Arabidopsis thaliana: one gene and its partner. Each later gene encodes a partner of the first gene's protein in a complex. Each region holds a gene or a part of one and is shown in the gene's direction. Other genes may lie near its edges.

The links.
Region 2: LSM3B (region 1) and LSM6B share a complex: the UniProt entries of both Arabidopsis thaliana proteins name them as parts of the heptameric LSM1-LSM7 complex.

Annotation. Positions count from the first base shown.
Region 1 is NC_003070.9:28,853,889-28,857,530, reverse strand, and holds LSM3B (Small nuclear ribonucleoprotein family protein), read left to right. Parts: upstream 1-1,780; 5' UTR 1,781-1,893; coding exon 1,894-2,010; intron 2,011-2,346; coding exon 2,347-2,442; intron 2,443-2,853; coding exon 2,854-2,937; 3' UTR 2,938-3,117; downstream 3,118-3,642. Other genes in the region: AT1G76870 (transcription factor), read right to left, coding at 1-281; SEC5A (exocyst complex component sec5), read right to left, coding at 3,249-3,470, 3,560-3,642. UniProt on the Arabidopsis thaliana protein: Component of LSM protein complexes, which are involved in RNA processing. Component of the cytoplasmic LSM1-LSM7 complex which is involved in mRNA degradation by promoting decapping and leading to accurate 5'-3' mRNA decay.
Region 2 is NC_003071.7:18,147,615-18,151,834, forward strand, and holds LSM6B (Small nuclear ribonucleoprotein family protein), read left to right. Parts: upstream 1-1,582; 5' UTR 1,583-1,761; exon of another isoform or gene 1,762-1,960; intron 1,961-2,085; 5' UTR 2,086-2,110; coding exon 2,111-2,225; intron 2,226-3,009; coding exon 3,010-3,123; intron 3,124-3,218; coding exon 3,219-3,265; 3' UTR 3,266-3,681; downstream 3,682-4,220. Other genes in the region: AT2G43800 (Actin-binding FH2 (formin homology 2) family protein), read left to right, coding at 1-207, 289-1,107. UniProt on the Arabidopsis thaliana protein: Component of LSM protein complexes, which are involved in RNA processing. Component of the cytoplasmic LSM1-LSM7 complex which is involved in mRNA degradation by promoting decapping and leading to accurate 5'-3' mRNA decay.

The DNA of each region.
Region 1 (3,642 bases):
TTCACCATCTTATCCATCCATTTCACACGTTGCCAAGGAGAGTTTTCCTTGGACTTGTTTTGACCATCACTACTTAACAAACATAGTTCATCATCTTCACTCATTGATTTCTTTCCTCTGTCGACATTGTTGTGACGTGTATCCATAGTATTGTTAAAGCCTGAGTCTTGTCGAGAATTTGGATGGTGTTGTTTCTGATTCTGATTTATAGCATTTGGACGAAGATCTCTCATAGAAGAAACTTGAGAATCAAAGCGTCCTTGCGAGCAATTTCCTTCCATTTCTACAGTTTCCAAAAGAAAAATCTGAATCAGAGAAAATAAAAATTCAGTCTTTCTCCTCAAAATCAAACTTTTCTTAGATGGATTTCTCCAAATATGAAACCTAAATCATCCGATCAAAGTAAGCTTGTAAACAGAGCAATCGCAATCAAACACTACGAATTCGATAAACTATAAAACATCGCTAACAAAAGACGAAAAAAAAAACTTATCTTTAGAGAAAATTTCATGCTAAAACTAAACGGACCTTTTTAAAACGATTGAAGACGAGAGAGTCTAGGGTTTTAGAGATGAGAGTTCAAGTAGAGAGACGAAGAACTCTGATCACTGAGACAATGCGTGTGGCGGACAAAACATTTAGAGGAAGAAGAAGAAGAGAGTCTTGTTTCTAAATCTTTTTTAGTGACAAATCACAAAAGTTATTTATGTCCAATGTATCAGAAGATATTTGGACCCACCATTTCTTTTTTATTTATTTATTTACGATTGATTTTGGTAGTCACTATGGGTAGAGTATGAATTTGAATTTTGAAATAACTGAAATTTATATGTTTTTTTATATATTAAAAGATATGATTGTCAAGGGAAATCTAAGTATTAGTTTTTTTTTTTAAACTTTTTTTTTTTACTTCCTTATTGAATCATTAATACAACATTTCATGATTCATTACTAAATCCACAATAAGTTTTTATACTCTTACACGTGTGCTTATTTTGTAGAAGCGTTACAATTCACATTAAAAAGGTTAAAAAGTGTATATTTTTTTTTTTTTTAGTATCTTATCGAATTATTAACAATAGTGTCGTTCTTCTTCTATATTGTTTAAATTTATGTTATCTTAGTTTGGACATATAAATTTATATTAATTTAAATTTAGTAGATACAATGTGAGTTTTAAAAACACAATATTGTAGAATTTCATCACCAAATCATGTCCAAGTTATTATACTCTCGCACATATATTTATTTTATGGAACCAATAAGTGTTACAATTCAGATAAAAAAAAGTTATAAATTTATATATAAATATATTAAACTTAAATTTGTATATAGTGATTAAAAAGTGATTGGTATCACGTTTTAGAAGATACCATATTTGGTTAAAAACATTAGTCACAATAAATGATTCTATTTTACACGTATGCTTACTTTGTGAAACTGTCAAGCGTTACAACTCGAAAAAAGTTGTGAAACGCTTGTAAGTAGAAAACAAACGAATCGAAGTACAAAACGTCAAATTTAATATCTTAATTTACATTTTAAAATTAAAATCTAACATTAATATTTGTTTACTGAAATATCTATACATACAAGACCTCAACTCAATTTTCTCAAGGTAGAAGTAGAACCTAGCTAGTAGAACCCATTGATAATCTTTGAAATAATAAAATATGCCGATAGTTTTGAAAAAAAAAACATTTTTTCGCCAACGTTCGTTTATGGGCCTAATATTCTGTTGGGCTGTTGCCATATATTTGTAAAATCTTATTCGTAGAACAAAATTGTTAAGTTCGTGTCCGCGAGATCAGAGTTTGTGTCCGGTTATACGATTCGTCGGTACCAAAACCCTCCGAGAAGTGTTTCAGGTGGGAAGGTATCTCTGTCTACACGATGTCCGGCGAGGAAGAAGCCACCGTGAGGGAGCCACTAGATCTGATTAGGCTGAGTCTCGACGAGAGAATCTATGTCAAGCTCCGGTCAGACCGCGAACTTCGCGGCAAGCTTCACGTACGTTTTCTTGTGCCCTGCTTAGTACCTTGAACTTGTCACTACTTAAAATACTCGTTCCACACATAGTTCGTTTGAATTTTGTAACTTTATTTTGCCGATTTCACTGTTTTGGTGTCGAATTTGGTCCTTTTTTGGGGGAAAGTCTAGGGTTTTGATTTTCAAGTTTCAGTTTCTAAAAACGTTTTCTCGAGTTATGGCGATGAGCTTGCAATTGGGAATTTATGGTTTGTGTAAATTTAATTTTGACAAAGTTCTTAAATTTTGGAAGATTTCTACACTCTTGAGTTACTCACTTAGGTTTGATGTTGTTGTTGTTGTTAATTCTTTGGGCAGGCGTTTGATCAGCATTTGAATATGATTCTGGGTGATGTTGAAGAAACTATCACTACAGTAGAAATCGATGACGAGACATATGAAGAGATTGTTCGGGTACGTGCTTTTTCTTACTCAATAGTTAACTTTATAGGTATTTGAGGGGGATCTTGATGAGTTTCTATCTCAAGTTAAGGATATTGTTAGAGAACAAGTGTACAAGTGTCTTTTAGCTTTCACTATATACAGAAGTTTCAGCTCAATGTAGAACATTTACTTAGACAAGAGATTATATCCTACACGAATCTTATTGTTCTGGAAGATATAAGCTATTGGATCGAAATTAGGAAGGCATTTCCATGTAACTGACTGTTTCTAGTAGAGAAGTCTCTTTCTTTAAGCTTCTTAGGCACACACATATTAGTTGTTGGGACTCCTCTAGGCGGGCTACAATTCTGATCTGATTAGGATAAGTGGCTTTTGTCTCTCATGTATGTGATTAGTTTTGTTTACTATCTCTGATTGCAGACTACAAAGCGGACGATTGAGTTTCTATTCGTGAGAGGAGATGGAGTGATATTGGTGTCTCCACCGCTGAGGACAGCAGCCTGAGTTCAAACTCAAATCTTTTGTGTCCTCTTTTCGTAAGGGGAATTTGTGACTATTCTTGTATTTAGTCACTTCTTGTCTTAACTAAAACAAGCTTGAAGAAGCTACTTTGCTTAAATTTCCAATGCTTTTCAGATACTTTGATCGTGTGATATACTAATTACAACCCAATTATCTGAGTTCACAAATAAAGATAAGAGTCTGAAAAAGACAGACAAACAAACAAAAAAATGCACCAGGAACAAGAGAATTATGATCATTTACGTACAAATAAACGGAGAAGAAATTATTAAATAAACAAAGTTGGTCTCTTATTATCTTCGTCTGGGTCGGGCATTAATGGGAGAACCAGATGATTGTGAGCCTCTGTAGTTTCTGCTTGGAGAATCCATTGATCCTCTAAAGGAAGAGTAGGTAGCTTTGGGTAATGGAGGCGTTGACTCTAATGGGGCTGACTCTGCAAAGCATGCTGTGTTCACACGAGTTCTCTCCAACTCTTGTTGTAGCAATTCGTTTGAACACTGTTTCGTTAGAGCCTGTTCACGAAATAAAACAAAATGATCAAAATTGAGGTTTTGATATTTGATCAAATCTGTTGAAAAGAGAAAGGAAATGTATGTGTTACGAGGAGGTCATCTGCTGAAACAGATTGCTTGTCATCTGAAACTGTGTCTTCGCTGCCACGAGTTGGTCTACGATTATGCCCTG
Region 2 (4,220 bases), on another chromosome or scaffold:
ATGGCTCCTACTAAAGAAGAAGAGGACAAGCTTAAGGAGCTTAAAGATGATGATGATGGATCTCCTTCCAAGATAGGACCTGCAGAGAAATTCCTCAAAGCATTGTTGAACATTCCTTTCGCCTTCAAGAGGATTGATGCAATGCTTTACATTGTCAAGTTCGAATCAGAAATCGAGTACCTTAACAGATCCTTCGACACTCTCGAGGTAAAACTCTACTTGTCCACCTCATAAGTGTATGTCTGCTGATCAAACAGATCATTCATATGCATTTGATCAAACTCTCAGGCTGCTACTGGTGAGTTAAAGAACACGCGGATGTTCTTGAAGCTTTTAGAAGCCGTGCTCAAGACTGGGAACCGGATGAATATAGGAACCAATAGAGGGGACGCACATGCTTTCAAGCTCGACACGCTCTTAAAACTGGTAGATATCAAAGGCGCGGATGGGAAAACCACCTTATTGCATTTTGTGGTTCAAGAGATCATAAAATTTGAAGGAGCTCGGGTTCCTTTTACTCCGAGTCAAAGCCATATAGGCGATAACATGGCCGAGCAATCCGCATTCCAAGATGACCTAGAGCTCAAGAAACTCGGGTTGCAAGTCGTTTCAGGTCTCAGCTCTCAGCTGATTAACGTCAAGAAAGCAGCGGCAATGGATTCAAATTCCCTCATCAACGAAACAGCGGAAATCGCCAGAGGAATAGCGAAAGTCAAGGAAGTAATCACGGAGCTAAAGCAAGAAACAGGTGTAGAGAGATTCTTGGAGTCAATGAACTCGTTCTTGAACAAAGGTGAGAAAGAGATCACAGAGTTACAATCTCATGGAGACAATGTCATGAAGATGGTTAAAGAAGTAACAGAGTATTTCCACGGGAACTCGGAAACTCATCCTTTTCGCATTTTCGCTGTGGTCAGAGACTTTCTGACGATTCTTGATCAAGTGTGTAAAGAAGTTGGACGCGTAAACGAGAGAACGGTGTATGGATCCATGCCACTACATTCGCCATCGAACCAGACCGCCACGCCTCTGTTTCCGGTGGTTATCAATAACAACTCACGGCTAAGTCCATCGGGTTCTCTAGACGACGACGATGGCTCGTTCTAAGTGAAAACTGTTGGCTCGGGTTTGGTTCGGTGTATGCTAATGTTTTGGTTTCATTTGCTACGTACTCAAGTAATATATGTGTTATACATATTTATATTTTTATTGATAGGCGAATTTAAATAGATTTTGGCAGATTGTTGCAAGTTGCTATCATCGGGCTCTGTACGTGTTCCAGTCCTCTGTTGAATTATTTATGTCACGTGTAGATGTATTTATTGATCTAAACCTAAAACGATAGAAGAACTAAAGTCTTGTGAAAAGTTAAATTATTGCAAGCTATACTATTTACAAAATGTAAAAAAAGAAACTGAAATTATTCTTTTGTTTGGTTCACATTAGGCATTTCCAAATTGCTGATGTCAAACATCTTTGCAAAGTTCTTCTCCCAACGAATTTTGAAAATTCACCATTTTCACGATTAAAATTTTAAAATTGACTAAAAAGTTTTAATCTCGCACATAATTAAACCACAATAAAAAAACTTGGACTTCGGATTGTTTTCCATGTGGGCTGATTCGAATTTGGGCTTGGGCCTTTTTAATTGTAATTTTATTTTTACTTATTTGTAAATGCGTCACATGTCTTCTTCGCTCTGTTCGGCTGCTTCATCGAGCGGAAGTCTCTAGCCAATTACCGTTTGTTCGTGGACTCGAGGTTCGTTGTTCTTAGATTTCCCAGACTCATCTGTTTCTGCAATCCATTTCAAAGTTTCTCTTTTTACTTAATCCAAGTCATTCGCGCATTTCCTAATTGGTCTGAGGTTTAGGGTTTTAGGGCACATAGTTTTGTTTGATTCGGGAGTAATCGTTGAGATGCTACGAGTTTGGTATTCAAGATGATTCCTTTTCTCAAGGTCTTTATGTAATTTGATTGATTTATGGATCTCGAATTGCTGACATGAATTTGTTGCTTAAAGTTGTTGGCTTTGTGGGATATTCTGAGGGGTCTTGTTTGATTTGGATCTAATTTGGTGGGCAGATATTGTGGTTTCTTAGCAAAGAAGATGAGTGGAGTTGGAGAGAAAGCTTCTGGAACAACTAAGACACCTGCTGATTTCTTGAAATCTATCCGTGGTAAACCAGTTGTTGTCAAGCTCAACTCTGGTGTTGATTATCGAGGTCTGTCTCTCTCTCTTTCTGCATTTTGTGTTCTCCTCTAAGATGTATCCAGTTCAAATTCTTTTTTTTTTTGCCTTGTGTGATGATATCTTATAGTTTGCTTCTGATTTTCGGTGGTTATTAAGCTATCGGAAGTCTATGTAAACTTCTTTATCACTTTGGGTTTAGATGTCTCAATGCCTTTCTTTCTCGCCATGTTACTGGAACCTTTGGATGTTGGTTTACAGAATGACTCTTTTCTTTGTCTAAGAACTGCTTGCTTGATTCTCATTTGATTTGAAAGTCCCATCTCTGAAGATTCATTTTTGTTGAGCTTGCTTGTTTTTTCCCTATCTTGTCTCTGTGTTTGAGAAGGAATAATACATTTCGGCTTGAGATATTTGCTTTGGATTTTGAGAAATATAATCTAGATGAGCAGGAAATTAACATACGGCTTTGAAACATATGCTTTTTGGAATTTGAGAGGAATATTAGATTCAGATGATAGCTTTGTGAATTGAGAGAGCTTCTCTCATGAGATAACAGACCCAAATGTGGTTGAATTTGAGATGCATTTACTCTTGCTTCTGATAGAATATGGACTCTCACCTTGCTATGGAGCCTTTATCACCTGAAATTAAGACCTTGGTCTCTTGAACTCTATAATATAACTTACAGGACTAGGAGAACTTCTAGCTTGAATATCTTTCTTTGGTTTATCTACAAAAGTCAGACTTATTCTTTCTTTGGCATATCATGTTGTATCAATCTACATATGACACTTTGTCTCTCTTCTTGTTTGCAGGCATTCTTACTTGTCTTGATGGATATATGAACATCGCAATGGAGCAAACCGAAGAGTATGTAAATGGCCAGCTGAAGAACACATATGGCGACGCTTTTGTCCGTGGCAACAATGGTAAAAACCAAATCACATTCATCATCACTCTTTAAATCGGTTTAGTATGTTTTTTTATATCCAATTCTGAAAAATATGCTCTATGTTGGCCACAGTTCTTTACATCAGCACAACAAAGGGGACATTGTCAGATGGAGCATAGCTCTCTTTCATCACCATGAATGTTCATCTTCTTCTCTACCTCTGGCATATGACAAATGTAGGATTTGTAGCAACCAGAGTTTATCACCACTGCATGAATTCGACATGTCTTTTTCTTCCGCAACTCAGTTTGTGTCTAAATCATCTCCAAAATTCTGAGATATAGCTAGATTTTTATTTGTTATGAAATTTTTTTTAATCACTGTTGGTCTTTGGAGCCTAATTATCGTGTTTTGATGACGCAATCACTGCGTCACAATCTGATGTCATCTTAACAATCATTAATGTATTTTTTTTTTCTTTTCTCGTAATATTCTTAATTATTCTTCGACAGCAAAGGTTTAAAAACTCCTTATTTCAATCATTAATGTATTTATGATTTGATCGAATAACAATAATATAGCTTATTTTGTTCTATTCTATCGTATTTGATTCTTCTTTCGTTTTTTTTTTGTTTGACTTAAGAAACCGATTGTTTATAGTAGTAAACATTTGTTTTTAATGTTGCTCGATTCCAGTGCACATGTCCAGGCTAGACACTTGTCGTTATAAAGGTTGCTTTGGTTCAATATTGATCCACTAGAGATGTTACAACTATTGTTGACATCTGAGATTGTGTGATAAGAAAATATGAAACTGGATTTAGTGAAAGTTACAATATATAATCATACATCATAGATAGGAAATAAGGAAATGTCAGATATACTTGAAGAATACATCAAATAGACAAGGTCCTTTTTCTTATTGTCGACTATTATAGAGCCGTACAGAACCTTTTCACGTCTTTAGTAATTAGTACATTCTCCATTTCGGCTCTCTCTTATTTTTTTTCCATCTCTTTTACTTCTCCAAATAATAACAATAAAAGCTTCGATTTTGTGTGTGTTTGTATTTACATCTTGACATCGATATTCTTTTCATCAATTTTTTACCAAAAATGTAATAAAAACAAAAAA